2 linked regions of the Daphnia pulex genome follow. The protein of the gene in region 2 purifies or fractionates together with the protein of the main gene of each other region. This does not show direct contact. Links are inferred from orthologs where the notes say so. Each region holds a gene or a part of one and is shown on either strand. Other genes may lie near its edges.

Region 1 (2,759 bases), on a different chromosome or scaffold from region 2:
GTTGACACTCTATCAGGAATTCGTTGGTCACCGGATAGTCGATGCCGTTTTGGAGGATATAAGATGGAGTTTAGAGTTTCCCATATCGAAATTCAATCAAAGGCGCGTGAGCATGGCAAAATATCTGGCCGAGCTCTACAACTACCGCATGGTTGAATCATCGGTCGTCTTCAAAGTATTGCACATTATTTAATTTGTTTTTTCTATTTTACCAGCAACTAAAATTGCTGACATAAAAAAATATCTGCAGGTTCTGTACACTTGCATCACGTTCGCAGTCAGTTTCGATTATAATATCGAATCGGATTTGGATCAACCAGATAACCTTATGCGTTTACGATTAGTCTTGACTATCCTTGACACATGCGGAGTCTTTTTCAGTTCGGGATTGTCTAAAAAACGGTTGGACTATTACCTGGTTTATCTGCAGGTAACTAATGCTTAGCTGTCATAGTCTGTTTACAGTTTTGATTAATGGCGACCTTTTGTGTTTAGTACTACTATTTGTTCAAAAGATCTTTGCCGATCTGGACTGATGACAATCCATTTCCAGTAGCAATTGATTTTGGCATTAAGGACATGCTGTTGACCCTGCGTCCGAAATTGAAAGCTTATAAAACCCTGCAAGAAGCTGCCGATGCAGTGGAAAATCTGGAGAAGGAACTGATGAATAAACTTTCACAAGCTGTAACTATCCATACTTTGTGGATTTTGAATTTAAAATTAAACCTTGTGTCGTTATGTTTCTTAGATGCCAGAATTGCAGATGGACGTGGTACTTGCTGATGATACCTTGGCCTGCATCGAAGAAGAGGTAATGTTCAATAGGAACTTAAGCAAAGAAAAAATTAAAATTATTGGAAATTGTTTTATTTAAAAAAGGATATGGAGGAAGGCGAAGAAATGCGGGAATTGGACGACGACTCTATCAATGATGAGCAATCGCTTTCTCGTTCCATGTCTCAAATGACCACACGTGGTGAAACCACCCAACCGGACGAAGACACGCACAACGTCGAAGCAAGTGGAATTTGTAATGCTAGAAAATGGTTGGATGCTAATATGAGTCATTTGTTACAGGACGACCGCTGTGTGGTGACAGCACCTCGGAAAGCGCTTTGTCCCGAAGATGACGATTTCATGGCCGCTCTAGATCGTATGGTGGCCGAGAACATTCACGATGCATACACTCGCGGCAAGGAAGTCAGCAAACCACCTGCCGTCGATATTGCCATCCCTTGGCAGGTTAAGGCATCGCTCAAAAGACCTGGTGCGTTAAGAAAAAAAGGACCGAGCTGTTCATTTATTAATCAATCACTTGGCGCGTTGCAGATGGATCGGATAAAAATTTTCTGGGCGATTCCATTGGAGGTGAATTGGGAGGTGCCTTGGCAGTTGCTGAAGCTTCTTCTGCCTGTGCCGCCATCGCTTCGTCTCCTCCTTCAGCAGTCCATGACAATCCTACGGTGAATTTCTTCCTAATGACGCGTAAAGGCAATAAGCCACAGTTCAAGAATCTGGCAGTGCCTTCGGACTCTGAACTTGCACAGAACCTACGGAATCGTGAAGAGGTACTGTCTTCCACTTGACTTTTTTAAATGACGGGGTTTAATTTCTATTCTGACTCGCGACACAGGCCGAAAAAGCGGAGAAGGAACGTGTCAAAAAGTTGACACTGGATTTCAATGAACGCCAGGAAGAAGAAGAGTTCCAGGATTTGTACGGCGGAGTAAGTGATGAAAAATGCAGAAAGTTCTCAATATTATTTATTGAAATACATTTGACTTGGAGTTACAACAAAATATTTATGTTTGTAGGTAAATCGTCCAGCTGTTCACAACGTCAATCGCGATCGCCGAGGTCGTTTCCAGCATCCCAAAGGCGTTCCGGACGCTGAGCTCATATTTGGAGGAGCGAGAAAGAATCGGTGAAATAATTCAGCCGTCCCCCAGGGGCGATGTTCAGAGTTTTGATTAGTTTTTTTGAGCAAATAAGTAAAATTAAAAGGGATCCAGAAATATCACGGAACAATCCACGGGTTGCGGAAGCGATGTACGACGAGACATAGGTTTATTTTACGTCATAATTGACGTCGTATTTTCCCTGCATACGTGTCTCTTCCTTGCTGTTTCGCCAGCCGTAAACAATGTAAACAGATAAACCTGACAGAAATGAAGCAAGCAAATAATTACTGTTTAAGTTCAATACAAGAATTGTTTGTTTTTTTTCCCTTTTCAACTTGCCTATGGCCATGTAAATGGAGTATTGAACCCAGGTAACCATCCTCATATTCACCATTAAATACGCATTGATCAAGATACTCAAAGCTGGCAGCAATGGAACTAGAGGGACCTAATTATATTTCAATTGATTAGATAAGCGAAATCTGATTTTGGGAGAGAAATATGGTACTTTGAATGCAAGCTGGTTGGGTGATTGCGGCAGTCGATGGATGGCCACCAGTGATATCAGTAAAATAGTTGTCAGACATCCAACTAAAGTTAGAGCCCACGTTTCCTTTTGCACGAGGTTATCCGCCGTGTAAGAGAGACTGAGGCTAAGTGCGATTGCAACCAGTACTATAGATAATTAATAGATAATTAATAAAATCTTCTATAAAGAAATTAGTGGGAAATACCGTAAACAACAGTGAGCCAGGAAGCAACTTTGCCGCTGAATCCGGTTGGTAGACGTCCACGTTGAACGAAAATCTGTCTCAACACTGTCTGGCTTTCAACTGAGGAATCGGACACGTAACG
Region 2 (4,279 bases):
AACTGAAACATTTTTACAACATCTAGTTCCTTAAGAAAACTGTATTCTGCCACCAAACCAATGGGGCCAGTGAGTTGTTCATCCCAAAATATTGCCTAGCATAATTGATGAATTTACGAACATTTCTTAAATGGAATAGCACACACCAAAATACCTTTGTTCCACTGAACTTCTCTAAAAGAGAAACAATATCCTGTAACAATAACAAAACTGTTGACGAAATTTATTTTTACTGAACAAGACATCAACAGACTGTCAACAGACAACCTAATGGATTTTGTGGTTGTCCTAAGTCACAAAAAGCTAATGACTAAATCCGCATAAAATGAAATAAAATTTAGTATTACCAAATGAATCGAAACTTACCTATCCGCTGAGATAAATTACTGTAAGTTTACACAAAAAGTTTGAAGAAAATCGATGCAGTAGTTTAGATTTCTATAAATTTATTCTGATTCTGAATTAAAGGTTCTGGAAGCCTGGCCCAGAACAGCGTACACTCCCCCCACATCCCTCCCCCTCCTACACACCCAGACACCCGCATTTACTTTAATGCCTTCTGGTAGTACAAGTACTACCCTCAGGGATAATAATTACACATAGCAACCGCCATCGATGTCCACATTGCAGCCTTCCTTATACAAATCAAGTGTGCCATTGTACAGAAAAGCCTCGCCAAAACGATCCGCTGTCAATGTTGGCTTGATGTATAGGATCCCATCTCGAACGTAACTTTAAATTGAAATGAGTTATTTCCATTTTGAAATTCAATTTGAAAATAATACCTGTTTTCGGGTAGATTGTCGTAATATTGGAATTCACTGTTGCCCCCTCGCCATGCTGTAATTAGGTGCTTCCATTTGTTTGTGTCAAGAAATTCAAAATCATCTTGCCAGAGGATTGGTCCGCGCGCTTGGTTGTCAATGCTAGATCCGTGACAAACTGCCAGAGCAAAAAGGGCGATAATAGAGAGCTTCATCATGGCTTTGGCAGTGAACGGTAAGGAGAATATTTATAATTCTGACTGTTACCGGTTAAAGAATGAACGTAACATAGCTTTTATACTTTACCACAAGGACATATAGGATTTGAATCAGAAAATATTTTTTATCAATTCATGACATAAGCAAGACTCATTACACTTTGACCGCAAGATGCTAAATATTTTGACCTTTGAAAATATGGTGTAAAGGATTTTTGTTTGTAACGACGAGTATCCGGGTGGATTCAAGTCGAAATAAAATACAGCTTAGGTTATTCAAACATTTTTAAAACTGAACTATTTTTTTTTTTACTGTTTTACATTTATTCCCAATGTCAATTAAAAAATATTTTTCCTCGTCACCGTGGTATGTTTCTAGTACCGCTATACTTGAACTGAATAAAAAATAATCAATTCAAATGTAGTCAAGCGGACTTGGAAGGAACGTGATCGCGACGTGACAAAAACGTGATTGAAATGTGGAACAGCATTACGTAATAACACAAATTCTGTGTGTGATGTAGTGGTTAATAGACTAATAGTTTCCAGTAAGTAAAGGGGTTCAACGTTCTTTTTTCCCCCGACTCTTGTCTGTTATTTTACTTTGAAACAATATCCGGTAAGCCACCGGAATTGCCAAACAGTTATTGGTACTGTTATTCTGTACTGAAGGTTAAGAACACATATAACACTATAATAAATCCGGCTATATTCATAAGTATGAAATTTAATTGAAAGTACTTTAATTAACATGTTTATACGCTCCGACTCCGAGTAAATAACATAACCTAAATAAGGAGAGAAACACTGCGAGGCAACGATAGCGTTATCAGCCTACAGCTATCGACGAAAGAGGATACAAAAAAAGAAAGGTAAAATATTTACTTTTTTGTTTTTTTCTGAAAAGGGCCAACCACCCAACAACTTGGGTTGGTTGTTGGTATGCTCCGAATGTCCGCAGTCCTCCGCACCTTGATTTTCTATAACAAGCCAGTGATTGTGTTGTAAGGTCGATCTGGCAATGTTTTTCCCAGCCCCGTATTACTTTTAGGCGACTTTCATCTGTAATCTACACTTTCTAATCTATTTCGTCAAGCAATTACTTTTTAAAGCTATATTACTTATGACTGTAGAAAAATTTCACTATATTTAGTGCTCAACTCTTAGGATTTGGGTGGGGCTTTCAGTATAAACAAACAATTCAACCGGAAAACATGGCCGACGACGACAGCAGGCGTGGTGTAACCAGTGTGGCAGATGCCGACTCGGCTGAGCAAAGCACTAACAGCGGTGACAATCCACAGGTGAAAATAGTTGTGTTAATTTGACAACCAAAACAATGTCCAATAATATTTCCCATTGTCTGTTTAGGCTGAATCAAAAGCGGTGACAGATGACGTTGCAGTTGCCAGTCAACCCACTGAGGAGACACCAGAAGACAAGACGATTCCAGATGCCCCCAAAGCTTCTGCAGAGGTGATCACGTCTGCCACAAGAGATTCAGAAGAAACCAAAAATCGGTTGGCCAAGGCCAGAGAAGAGCTTAACAAAGCAAGAGAGGAATCGGCTAGAGCTAGGGATGAAGTTGAAAAAGCAAAAAAAGATCTTGCTGTGGCTAAGCAGGACACCTCAGCAACAATCCAAGTTGCAGTTGAAAAGCCATCAGCAGAAGTCAATGTTGCTGCTTCAGAATCCACCCCGAAAGTCGAAACAGAAATAGAAAAGCCTAGTAAAGCGGAAGAAGCTCCAGCTGTCACTGAACATGTTGAGAACAGCAAGAAAGAGGAAAAACCAGAGATACAACCAGAAACCCCTAAAGAAGAAAAGCTGGTACCCGAAGATTCCAAAAACTCAAATCAAAATTGTGAAGCTACTGAACCAAACGAGGAAGTTGGAGAAGAAAAACCTGTCACAGCCCATGAATCTCAGTCAGCAGTAGAAACTAAAACAGTCGAAGAGGAAGCTAAGGTAGAAGACACAGTAGTGACTGCTGACAATTCAAATGCCACCAAGGAAATTCAAGTAGAGAGCAACAAAGAGGTGGAAACACCAGTTGGAGCAACAGAGGAAGTGCAAGAAGAGTCTCATGTGGAAGAAAAACAACCTGAAAGCAGTAAAGACGAAGAAGGTGAGATAGTTGAAGGTGAAAACGAAGAAGGTGAGCTAGTTGAAGATGAAGAAGGCGAAGAAGTTGAAGGAGAACATGAAGAAGAAGAGGTTGTAGAAGGTGAACGGGAAGAAGGCGATGGAGAAGAAAGTGACGACGAAGATGCTCCAGCCAAGCCGTTAGATGATGATGAAGACCGTCGAAACCCTCAATATATTCCAAAAAGAGGTGGCTTTTATGAACACGATGACCGAAATCGTGAAGAAGTTGAAGAGGCAGCTGCGTAATTATAACAAGTTTCCCCTTTAACTTGTTTCATTTAAAATAATATTATTTTTTAACATTTTTGCAGTGAAGAGCCTGTAGCCGGAGTAGAGGTGGAAAAGCCGAAGAAGACGAGAAGTGAAGCCATCGATCGTTGGGGTCATGATATGTTTGACCCAAATCAGCAAGTGCCCAAGAGTGATCAAGAGTTGGTTGATCTCTATGGATACGACATTCGCCAGGAAGAAGGAGCTCCGAGGTATAATGCACGTCTATTGAGTTAGCAAGCACTTGTTTTTACTAACCGTCTGGGGAATCTATTTTTACAGGGCGCGCCGTCGCAGACGTTATGGTCGTGGCCCAAACAAGTACGATCGTACATGGGAAGATGAAGATGCTTATTCTCGGCCTCGCGGACGTGGTGGTGTTGCCTCAAGAGGTGGTCCCTCAGAACGTGGCTCTGGATTTGAACGCAATCCCGATTCCCGTCCGCGCACGCAGCGCCAAGAAATGCCCAAAAAGGATGAATTCCCCGCATTATCGGATGGCAAACAGGAGCCCAAGGCCCAGGGAGAGACTGCCCCAAAGCAATCTTCCCAATCCAATTGGAGAGAAGGTGAAAGAGGAATTGGAATGACTGGAGGCAACGAACGTCGCGGCGGTGGTAACAGCAACAATAGCAATAACAGTAAGGCGAACGCTGTTTCTTATCGACGTGGAGGAGGCGGACGAACATTCGAAGAGCGTCGAGAAATGAGAGAAGCCAAAGGACTTAGAGCCCGAAGTGACAGTGTGCCACAGTCTGGTGAAGGAGATGAAGAACAGTCTGCTGACCAACCTCCCAAAGAAAATATTAGAAGCCCCAGAAGACCAATGGGAGCAGAAGCTTCTCCTCGCGGTGCCCCTCGTGGAGGAAGCTCACGAGG

Evidence for each region.
Region 1: the proteins of protein CASC3-like (region 2) and regulator of nonsense transcripts 2-like fractionate together in Homo sapiens (co-fractionation; 3 studies listed by BioGRID and IntAct). This does not show direct contact. The link is inferred for Daphnia pulex from reciprocal best matches to the Homo sapiens genes CASC3 and UPF2.

Annotation. Positions count from the first base shown.
Region 1 is NC_060024.1:11,698,138-11,700,896, reverse strand, and holds the end of regulator of nonsense transcripts 2-like, read left to right. Parts: coding exon 1-175; intron 176-250; coding exon 251-430; intron 431-495; coding exon 496-687; intron 688-751; coding exon 752-814; intron 815-882; coding exon 883-1,270; intron 1,271-1,332; coding exon 1,333-1,571; intron 1,572-1,636; coding exon 1,637-1,729; intron 1,730-1,750; exon of another isoform or gene 1,751-1,817; coding exon 1,818-1,931; 3' UTR 1,932-2,070; coding exon of another isoform or gene 2,071-2,162; 3' UTR 2,163-2,238; downstream 2,239-2,759. Other genes in the region: cationic amino acid transporter 2-like, read right to left, coding at 2,071-2,162, 2,244-2,352, 2,413-2,579, 2,639-2,759. UniProt on the Homo sapiens protein: Involved in nonsense-mediated decay (NMD) of mRNAs containing premature stop codons by associating with the nuclear exon junction complex (EJC).
Region 2 is NC_060026.1:13,506,334-13,510,612, forward strand, and holds the start of protein CASC3-like, read left to right. Parts: upstream 1-1,466; 5' UTR 1,467-1,854; intron 1,855-1,870; exon of another isoform or gene 1,871-2,149; 5' UTR 2,150-2,196; coding exon 2,197-2,286; intron 2,287-2,353; coding exon 2,354-3,372; intron 3,373-3,441; coding exon 3,442-3,612; intron 3,613-3,682; coding exon 3,683-4,279. Other genes in the region: beta-1,3-glucan-binding protein-like, read right to left, coding at 598-732, 786-982. UniProt on the Homo sapiens protein: Required for pre-mRNA splicing as component of the spliceosome. Core component of the splicing-dependent multiprotein exon junction complex (EJC) deposited at splice junctions on mRNAs.